Linked DNA regions of Oryzias latipes. Each later gene encodes a partner of the first gene's protein in a complex. Links are inferred from orthologs where the notes say so. Each region holds a gene or a part of one and is shown in the gene's direction. Other genes may lie near its edges. The genes, in order: strn and pdcd10.

Region 1 (3,818 bases):
TTATCTCAAAAGCTGAAGTCAGACATTCCCCACCATGACACAAACCTCTCTCAAATCCACCTCCTTCTTTCTGCCAGCAGAAAGAAAACACAGAGGAGGGTCAGGAGAGGCCCGTAGCTCCGCCCTCCTCGTTTATGAAATTGATTTGAATCTGAAAGTCTCAGAGCGTTTGCAGCTCTCTGTCTGCAAGGACCAGGGCAGTTTCTCAACAGCCTGTCGGTCTGGTTTTGTCCCCTTGTGTAGAGAAGAACGAGCAAGGCTCCATTTCTGAGGCCTGGGACGTGGCCCCGGGCCTGATAACCCAGCTCAAGGAACAGTACAAAAAGGATCGCAAGGGGAAAAAGGGGGTTAAGAGTAAGTCCTGCTAGGTATTGCTGCCTCCCTGCTTCTTCTCATTCTGCAGAGCCTAAAGCCTTAGTCACAACTGAACCTGCGGGTGGAGACGGGCTTCCTGCGGGCGAAAAATGGTCAAACCTGTACGGGTGGCACCCGTCAATACCTGCTGCAGTCTGGCCGTTAGACAGGAGGAAAATGGACAGAGTGTAGTTTGTGTGGACATCCCATGAACACTTCTGTATCACCCAGTGTGTGCAGCACTTATGCACAATTAGTAAGGAGACTGTACTGGCACCTTGAATGTGCCGTGACGACACTGTAGGACAGCATCACCTGTAGGTTGTAAGTGTGTGTAACTTACATTATTGCCACACATACACACGACAATGGTACGTCCCGTTTTAATGATGCCCCTTGAGGTCCTTGTACGAGCCTCAAGGAAGCTGCAAGATAAAGAAAATTCTACAAAAACTTTGCATTTCTGAGTATTTCTTTAATCAAATCGTTGTGGAAAAAAAAAGCTGTTTGGAAAAGATTTTTGACGGAAAATTTGCTCGCCGGGCCACAAGCTCCCTGCTCTGCTCCATTCTCAGGCGAAGGGTCTATAGATGCATTCGTTTGGGTTGCTCCACGCCAACTTTCCCGCCCACAACTCTGAAACTCTGTCCTAAATATCGACACGGGTTTCTTTTCTTTTTTCATTTTGGCTAAAAACGGTAAAATCCTGATCAAAAGAGCACTGGGAACACTCTGAAACCCGAAAGCCGAAAGCCTCACAGCACCCGTACAGGTCAAGCCCCCCAGTGTGACTAAGGCTTTACTTTCCTGAGAAACCAGCCTCAAATCCAAATTGGAGCATCTTCACTGTTTTCTCTGAGTTTCTTCTGTCGCCGCTCCTCGTTCTGCTTCTCTGTCCTCTTCACATCTCATTCTTCAGACCTCTCCGGTGCCTTCAAAACCTGCATCTGTGCTCAGGATTTCTTTTGCCCTTTGGTTGACCCTGGTGCATGCCTCATTTCAGTCTTTCATCGCCTTATTCTCATCTTCACGTCATCGTGCTAACCGTGAAAGATCAGACCGCCGTGCCACAGTAGCTCTGTGATTGCCGCCGTGGTCCTCATCGGTCGGCTCGGCTCGCGTGGAGAAGTCGTGTAGCCGCTGATGTTCTGCCGCTCGATAGCAAAATCAGAGCTTTTCCTGTGACCCGCATGGATGACTCATTCAGCAGCCCACAGATTTCACATTTCTGACACCCAGTCTCCGCTCTCCTTCTGCAGCGACTGCTCGTGACATCAACACTCACTTTCTCACCTTCCTTCTACGCTGTTTACACAGCCCCCCCCCCCCAAGAGTGTGTGGTTTTTTTTTTTGTGGGTGTTCGGACGACACCATGTAGAGTTTCTGTTCCTGCGATTTTTGTCTGTTGCAGCTCCTCATAATCCATTTCTGCGCCGTGTTCATACCAGCCGTTAACTGCTGTTATTTATTGCTAAAACTGTTGTTAGATTTAAAAAAAAAATAAGCTGGAATTTACAGTTTTGTGTTGCCAATTGCACCTTTGTTTGTTGAGCATCACAAGGAAACTTTCCTAGGTCTCTGCTGGTTGCTTAGCAACAGCTCTGAGCCGGAGGAAAGTGTGTCAAAAGGACAGACTGAGCGGATCGTAGTTTTTGTCTCACGCACTTCTGAAAGGATGGCAGTTAAAACGTACAGATTCAGGTTTAGACTACAGTGATTCTCCACACCAGCGGCTTTAAAGGCAAATGTACCTTTTGAGTAGGTTTCACTGCTTTTCTTCAAACTTTATCTATTTTTCTTTCTTCCCAGTCCTTCCATCTTTTCATCTTTTTTTCTCTCAGCTTGTTTGCACTCTTTTTCTCTCGTCTCCGTTCTCCATCAGTATGTGTTGGTTCTGTTAACCGGTGTAACCCCACCTGTGAACAGGACCCAACCGATCCAAGCTGCAGGACATGCTGGCCAACCTGAGGGACGGCGAGGACATGCCTCACATGCAGCCTCCGTCCGCCCCGCAGCCCCGACCCAGCGTGCCCCGCTTTAACGAACACGAGGGAAACCGGCCGGATGAAGGTGCCTCAGAAAGACCGCCGCCCCCTTTCTGTTTGAACTTTGGTTATAATCAGGTTTCCTCTCCGCAGTGGAGACCCTTGCTTTCCCGCCCACCTCAGGGACGTTTATTATGGGCGCAGACGAAGCTATGAAGAGCGACCTGGGACTCGGGGAGCTGGCCAGCATCACCGTGGCCAACGAGGTCGAGAGTCTGGCATACGATGTGAGTGAACTGTTCCGGTTTTTCCGGCCCGAATCGTTCACAAGTCTGCGTTTAGCGGGTCAACCAGACAACGGAAAATAGCATCTCTTCAGCCATTTTACCCCTATGAAAGTAACAGTCCACCTGGACCTTTTCTTCTTTATTCATCACATAATATTTTAAATTGTTTTTCAAAATAATTTCATCCCTGACACTATTAGATAAATTGTTACAGATCTAAAATGTTCTAGATCTGTAACCTGAGGCTCTGGAGCCACAAGCAGCTCCTTTATTACTCTATCCTGGCAATATAAAAAATTATAGTTTTAGTTTGTTTGTTTTTGCTAACTTTGTTTTATCATTTATGTACACATTTATGACATCACTGAGAGAAGTGATGGTAAAAAGTTCAGTCTGCTGTCAGAGTGGTTTAAGATTCAACATGTTCTTTTCTTCTGCTGCACAACAGAGTCTAGAGAAGTTCTTAAAGATTCTCTAAAAAATAAATTAAAAAAAGCTGTATTCTACACTGATCTCATCACATTTATATTTGATAGTAAGAGGAGAAAAAGGATGACAGTGATTCGCCAAACTCTCTTGCCTTTGTTTAAACCAAAACTGCTGCAGCAAAAGGATCCTATTTGGCACACAGGATGTGTTTTATTTTGAAAGGATGGTGTATATGCCGGTGTCAAAATAAAAAAGGGAATGAATAAATAAAGTTAAAATAAGTTAAAATTCTCAAATTTGAATGGTGTAAAATAACTCTAAACCCCCCCCAAATGAACTGATTTCATAGATGAAGTGATCCGAAGGTTTTGAGTTGAGGCCCTGATAAAACACTGAGTAGTTAGGAATATGTTTATTTCTGTTTATTTGATTCTATTAAAGGCATTTTGATAAGAATGACGGTATCAGACTGTGGAACAAGTGAACAAAACCATGAAGCTCAGAGACGCTAGTCTGTCTGGCGTTTGGCGGCTGTTTGCACTACATCTCCCATGATGCATTGAGTTAAAGTGACAGTGTCTCAGCGCACAATGAGCCTTTCTTTGTTAAACGTCTTGAAACCACAACGAACACATATAAAACTGTTTTTAAATCTTCTAAATTAACTTTTATTACATCTTTTAGAAAAAACAGCTGCAGCTTCCAGCTTTTTCTGCCACAATTGTCACAAAAATGCATGTGAGATCATGGAGGGGCTGTAAAT
Region 2 (4,312 bases), on another chromosome or scaffold:
AGTTTTATGCAGTGAGCTTTACATTTTTCAATGAAAGGGTTTGTCTGTGGACTCACTGCTTTCACTACCGTTTCTCAGGTTGATGAAAGTTTCCTGTTGGTTACCAGTGTGTTTCTTTTTGTGATAAAACTGTTCTTCTGCTCTTCCTCCAGAGGGCAGAATCAGATCAGCGTTCACACTCAACTGCCTGCTCCACCAAACAGTAGAGCACATTTAGAAAAATTGAGATTAAAAAACATTGTGTGAATTACTCCCCCAAGGTAATTAGCAGCAGAAAAAAACAGTTTTTTAAAAATTTGATTTTGTCTTGGTTGGATAGTTAAAGGGTTGAAAGAGTTTGATGACAACTTCTTGAACCTAATAAAAAATAGAGAAATTGTAAATAATATAAAAAATTAACACCATCATTTGGGTGGTGGAAATGGAGTGTTTTGTTTTTTTTTACTCCTTTTTAAGTAAACATGTTTAATTTTTCTTTTACTTTGGTTATAATCAGTTTTTTGCAAGTTACTTCCAAAACGTAACACATTTCTGAAGTAATGCCTTGTATTAAAAGAATTCTGGCTCAAAATCGCACTGCTTCACATGTCTCCTGAAGCATTACCTTTAAGCTTGTACCTGCACAAGCAAACCATAACAATTTAAAGTGGCATTTTAGTCTATACTTTTTTGAAAAGTATTACTACTCTAAAAAAAAGCCTTATGTACCTCTAAAAGACTAATATCCACAAATAAAATGCTACTTGAAGTAGGTTAATATGACCACCCTTAACTTACAACAACAGGTCAGGCAGATATGGATTTAAGGGGTGAAATGGACCTGACATGAAAAGGAAATAATTTTTTTAGGTCTAGTTATCCTAACAGGAAATTTGTCTCCATAATTTAATTTGAGACAAAAATGTGAAAAAGCGTACAGTGACCTACAACACCTATAGGCTACTGCTGAGGTGGCAAGTCTGTTGTAATACAAGAGTTACTAAACATTCACTGAGTGAAATGTAAAATATATTTATTGGTAATACTTTACATAACTGTTATTTTACAAAGTTGAGTGTTTGTGTAATTAAATACTTTTATTGTGAGTTACTACCAATTATGTTCATGGTATAAAATACATCCTGTTTTTTTTGGTGTGTAATTGTTATTATCATGAATTTTTTTAATTATTGTTTAAAGTATTTTATTATTGATGTTATTTTATATTCGCTTATTATTTAATTATGTGAAACCATAAAAGTACTGTTTACTCGAAAAATGATTGCAACGATTGAAACGCGAGCATTTAAATGACGTATGTTGCACAGTTTCGGTTTCCGCTCTCTGATTGGATAAATGGGCGTTTACGTAGCAATGGTCCGGAAAATGTCGTTCGGGCCAGTCCGAAGAAACTTCCGCCTCAAGTTGTAAAGAAAACACAGGAGCTAAAAGGCAATCGACGGAATAGCCAGCAGTTTAAAGAAGTCAGATCAAAGGTAGAACCAAATATCGTTTTTTTTTTACAAGTATAGGATAATTTGCGCAGCGCAGTCAGTTTGTGTAAGTGTTTAGGGCCGTTTGGGATTAAAGCTTCAATTTATTTGAGCTAGCTACGCTATTCAAAGCTAGCAGTTTGCTAATATCGATTCGATCGCTTATAGGCCTCAAGTGAATGTCTTTAAAATTAGATCGATTTACATGTGTGACTTAACACCAACAGGTAATAGTGCTGTTTTTTAAACATTGACATTACTTCGTTTTATTTAAAATACATTTCTTAATTTTATGATACGTCAGCGACTTAGCCTTTCTGATAGCTCGTTAGCACTACCACCTACTAGGGCTATCTGTATTTCGGTAGCTAGTGTTAACTGGTCAGTTTAGCTTCCAACTGAGACGAGCAGCGCTTCAGACACCATTATACGAATAAAAACTAGACCAACTTTGTCTCCTTTTGTTTAAGCATTTACACTCACCGTTTTCAGTAATATTTCATCTACGAACACTTGTCATTCTTACCTAGTCTGTGAAGTAGTTTTTTTTTTTCTAATGTGACTAGTTACTTCTTTACGTATGTTGCGTTTTAGAAACTTAGCGATAATAATATTGTTTGTCAAGTAATTAGATTTAAATTAGATTTTCAGTTAAGTTCACAGTGAGGTTTTGTTAAAAAAAAAGGAACATTATTAAAGCGTGCCACTCCCCTTAACCAAATTAAAAAAGTCAACAGGTTCTCTTACCTTTGGCGTCAAAACATAGCCTCTGTGTGGGCGGGTTAGCGTATGATTCTTTATTTTTCAGATTTTACTTTTTAGTAACTGCTATTAATCATCACAGAACAAACTACTATGTGGCACTGTAGATTTATTTGAAAAACTTTAATTTGAGTTTTATCTCTGCAGATAAAAAAAAAACATAAAACATTTTAGGTTAGGTAAGCCCCTATGTTGTTGTTTTTTGGGGGTTTAATGTAAATTCATAAGAGTAGTCTATAAATGTAGGTACAAAATTGTATTTATGAACGAATTATAGAGAATTATTTTAAATCTTAATTGAAATATCTTTAACAATAATAAAATTGGATTTAGATTTCATTATACTTTTACAATTATAATTAGCTTCTTATTTTATTAAAAACCCCAAGTACCCCCCCTGAAGTGGCACTTGGTACCTACCCCTTTGTGCTTTATGACTAATATATAGTCAGGTATTTTTTTATTTTCCTTTTCCTTTTATGGTAGACCCCTGTTATGGCATTAGTGAAACATTTACAAGCTGTAAACTAACTTGGATCATTTCTTTTTCTTTAACTTGAACAGGTCAAGTGTGACTGAAACCTAAGGCTGTCCATTCCAGCTGCTCTTTCTAATGGTAGCTGGAATGTCAGTCTATTTCCATTAAAAAAAAATCTGTTTATGGATTTTACTCTAATATTTGCGCCTTTGCACAATGTGCCAACAATGTTTTGAAATTTATATTTGAATGAATGGAGCTTGTAGATAGAAGAGCTACTTCCCCAATTAGGAGCAAGGCTAAGCAATATTCTGTTTTTCCTCTCGGTACCAAGTTCTGTAAATTATTTCGGCTCATATCTAGAAATTATTTTCTTGCGGAATTGGAACCGATGTAATTGAACAAGGACTAATATCTTTGTAAAAGTAAAACCAATGATTCACCATCAAGTTAATGGAAACCAAAAGCTGGTTTTTATAAAGATAATCAAATTTCTAACCTTCATCAATAACCGTCTATTGTTGTTTTATTTTCTTTGCAGGTCACTTGCATTCTGGAACTTGTGCGGCTTGTCCTGTGTGTGTGTATGTGTGTCTGTGTGTGTGTGTGTCTGTGTGTGTGAGTGATTGTGTGTGTATGTGAGTGGGTGTATGTGTGAGTGTGCGAGAGCTGCACTTTCTTTGTCACTAATTTAACAAGTGCTGCTCCTCCCTGGAGGATGACAATGGAGGAGATGAAGAATGAAGCGGAGACTAACTCCATGGTATCCATGACGCTGTATGCTGTGATGTTCCCAGTTTTTAATGAGGTAACATTGCCATCACAATTAAAAAATGAAAAAACATTAGTCCAAAAAATACATATTTTTTATAGAGTTTTAATTGAAGTTGACAGATGTTTCTCTTATCATAAAATCCAAATTTAGTACCTAAAGTAGAAGAATTGATATTTCTGAACTTTTTTCAAAATTTTGTAATAGTAAATGCTTCTCAAAAATTGTTTCTAATCTTTTCTCTTTTCTGTGAACGTTTTTGTTAACGCTAAGCACCGCTCTCTGTCCTGGTGTGTTTTGTTTTTTAATGGCCTGTACTTTTTTTCTTTGTTTCTTCTTTTTAGCTGGAGAGAATCAATCCATCAGCAGCTCAGACGCTCAGGGCAGCTTTCATAAAGGTGAGACCTCGTGAATCAACCAAGAGGAAATGTAAAATCATGTGATCCCACTCCTGTCATATGTATGTTGCAAAGAGTATGAATGTGTGTCATAGCAATTGGGTACAGTAATTTAAAAAAATAAATCCTATTGTTGAGTTATGCGTCTTCATGGTTGGGGAGGGCATCTGGAAATTAAATGAATGACTTCTGCTTTAAAAAAGAAAAAAGCTTTTCTGTGTTTAACTTCCTTCATGTTGAATTTAGCTTTAAAAAAAAAGAACTTGCTGAGATTTTTCACCAAAGTCATTTTTCCATTCACCTTCTTAAAAGCAACAGAAATTAATAATAATAATATTTTACATCTTTTATAATGAAAAAGGATAAAACAAATTTCTTTGCTTAAAAAAAAAAACAAAGTAAAATACTAAACATTCTTCTTCCTGATGGT

Evidence for each region.
Region 2: strn (region 1) and pdcd10 share a complex: the UniProt entries of both Homo sapiens proteins name them as parts of the core of STRIPAK complex. The link is inferred for Oryzias latipes from reciprocal best matches to the Homo sapiens genes STRN and PDCD10.

Annotation. Positions count from the first base shown.
Region 1 is NC_019873.2:28,015,682-28,019,499, reverse strand, and holds part of strn (striatin), read left to right. Parts: intron 1-243; coding exon 244-354; intron 355-2,280; coding exon 2,281-2,424; intron 2,425-2,492; coding exon 2,493-2,626; intron 2,627-3,818. UniProt on the Homo sapiens protein: Calmodulin-binding scaffolding protein which is the center of the striatin-interacting phosphatase and kinase (STRIPAK) complexes.
Region 2 is NC_019880.2:9,011,035-9,015,346, reverse strand, and holds the start of pdcd10 (programmed cell death protein 10), read left to right. Parts: upstream 1-1,345; 5' UTR 1,346-1,475; exon of another isoform or gene 1,476-1,699; intron 1,700-3,253; 5' UTR 3,254-3,430; coding exon 3,431-3,520; intron 3,521-3,828; coding exon 3,829-3,882; intron 3,883-4,312. UniProt on the Homo sapiens protein: Promotes cell proliferation. Modulates apoptotic pathways. Increases mitogen-activated protein kinase activity and STK26 activity. Important for cell migration, and for normal structure and assembly of the Golgi complex.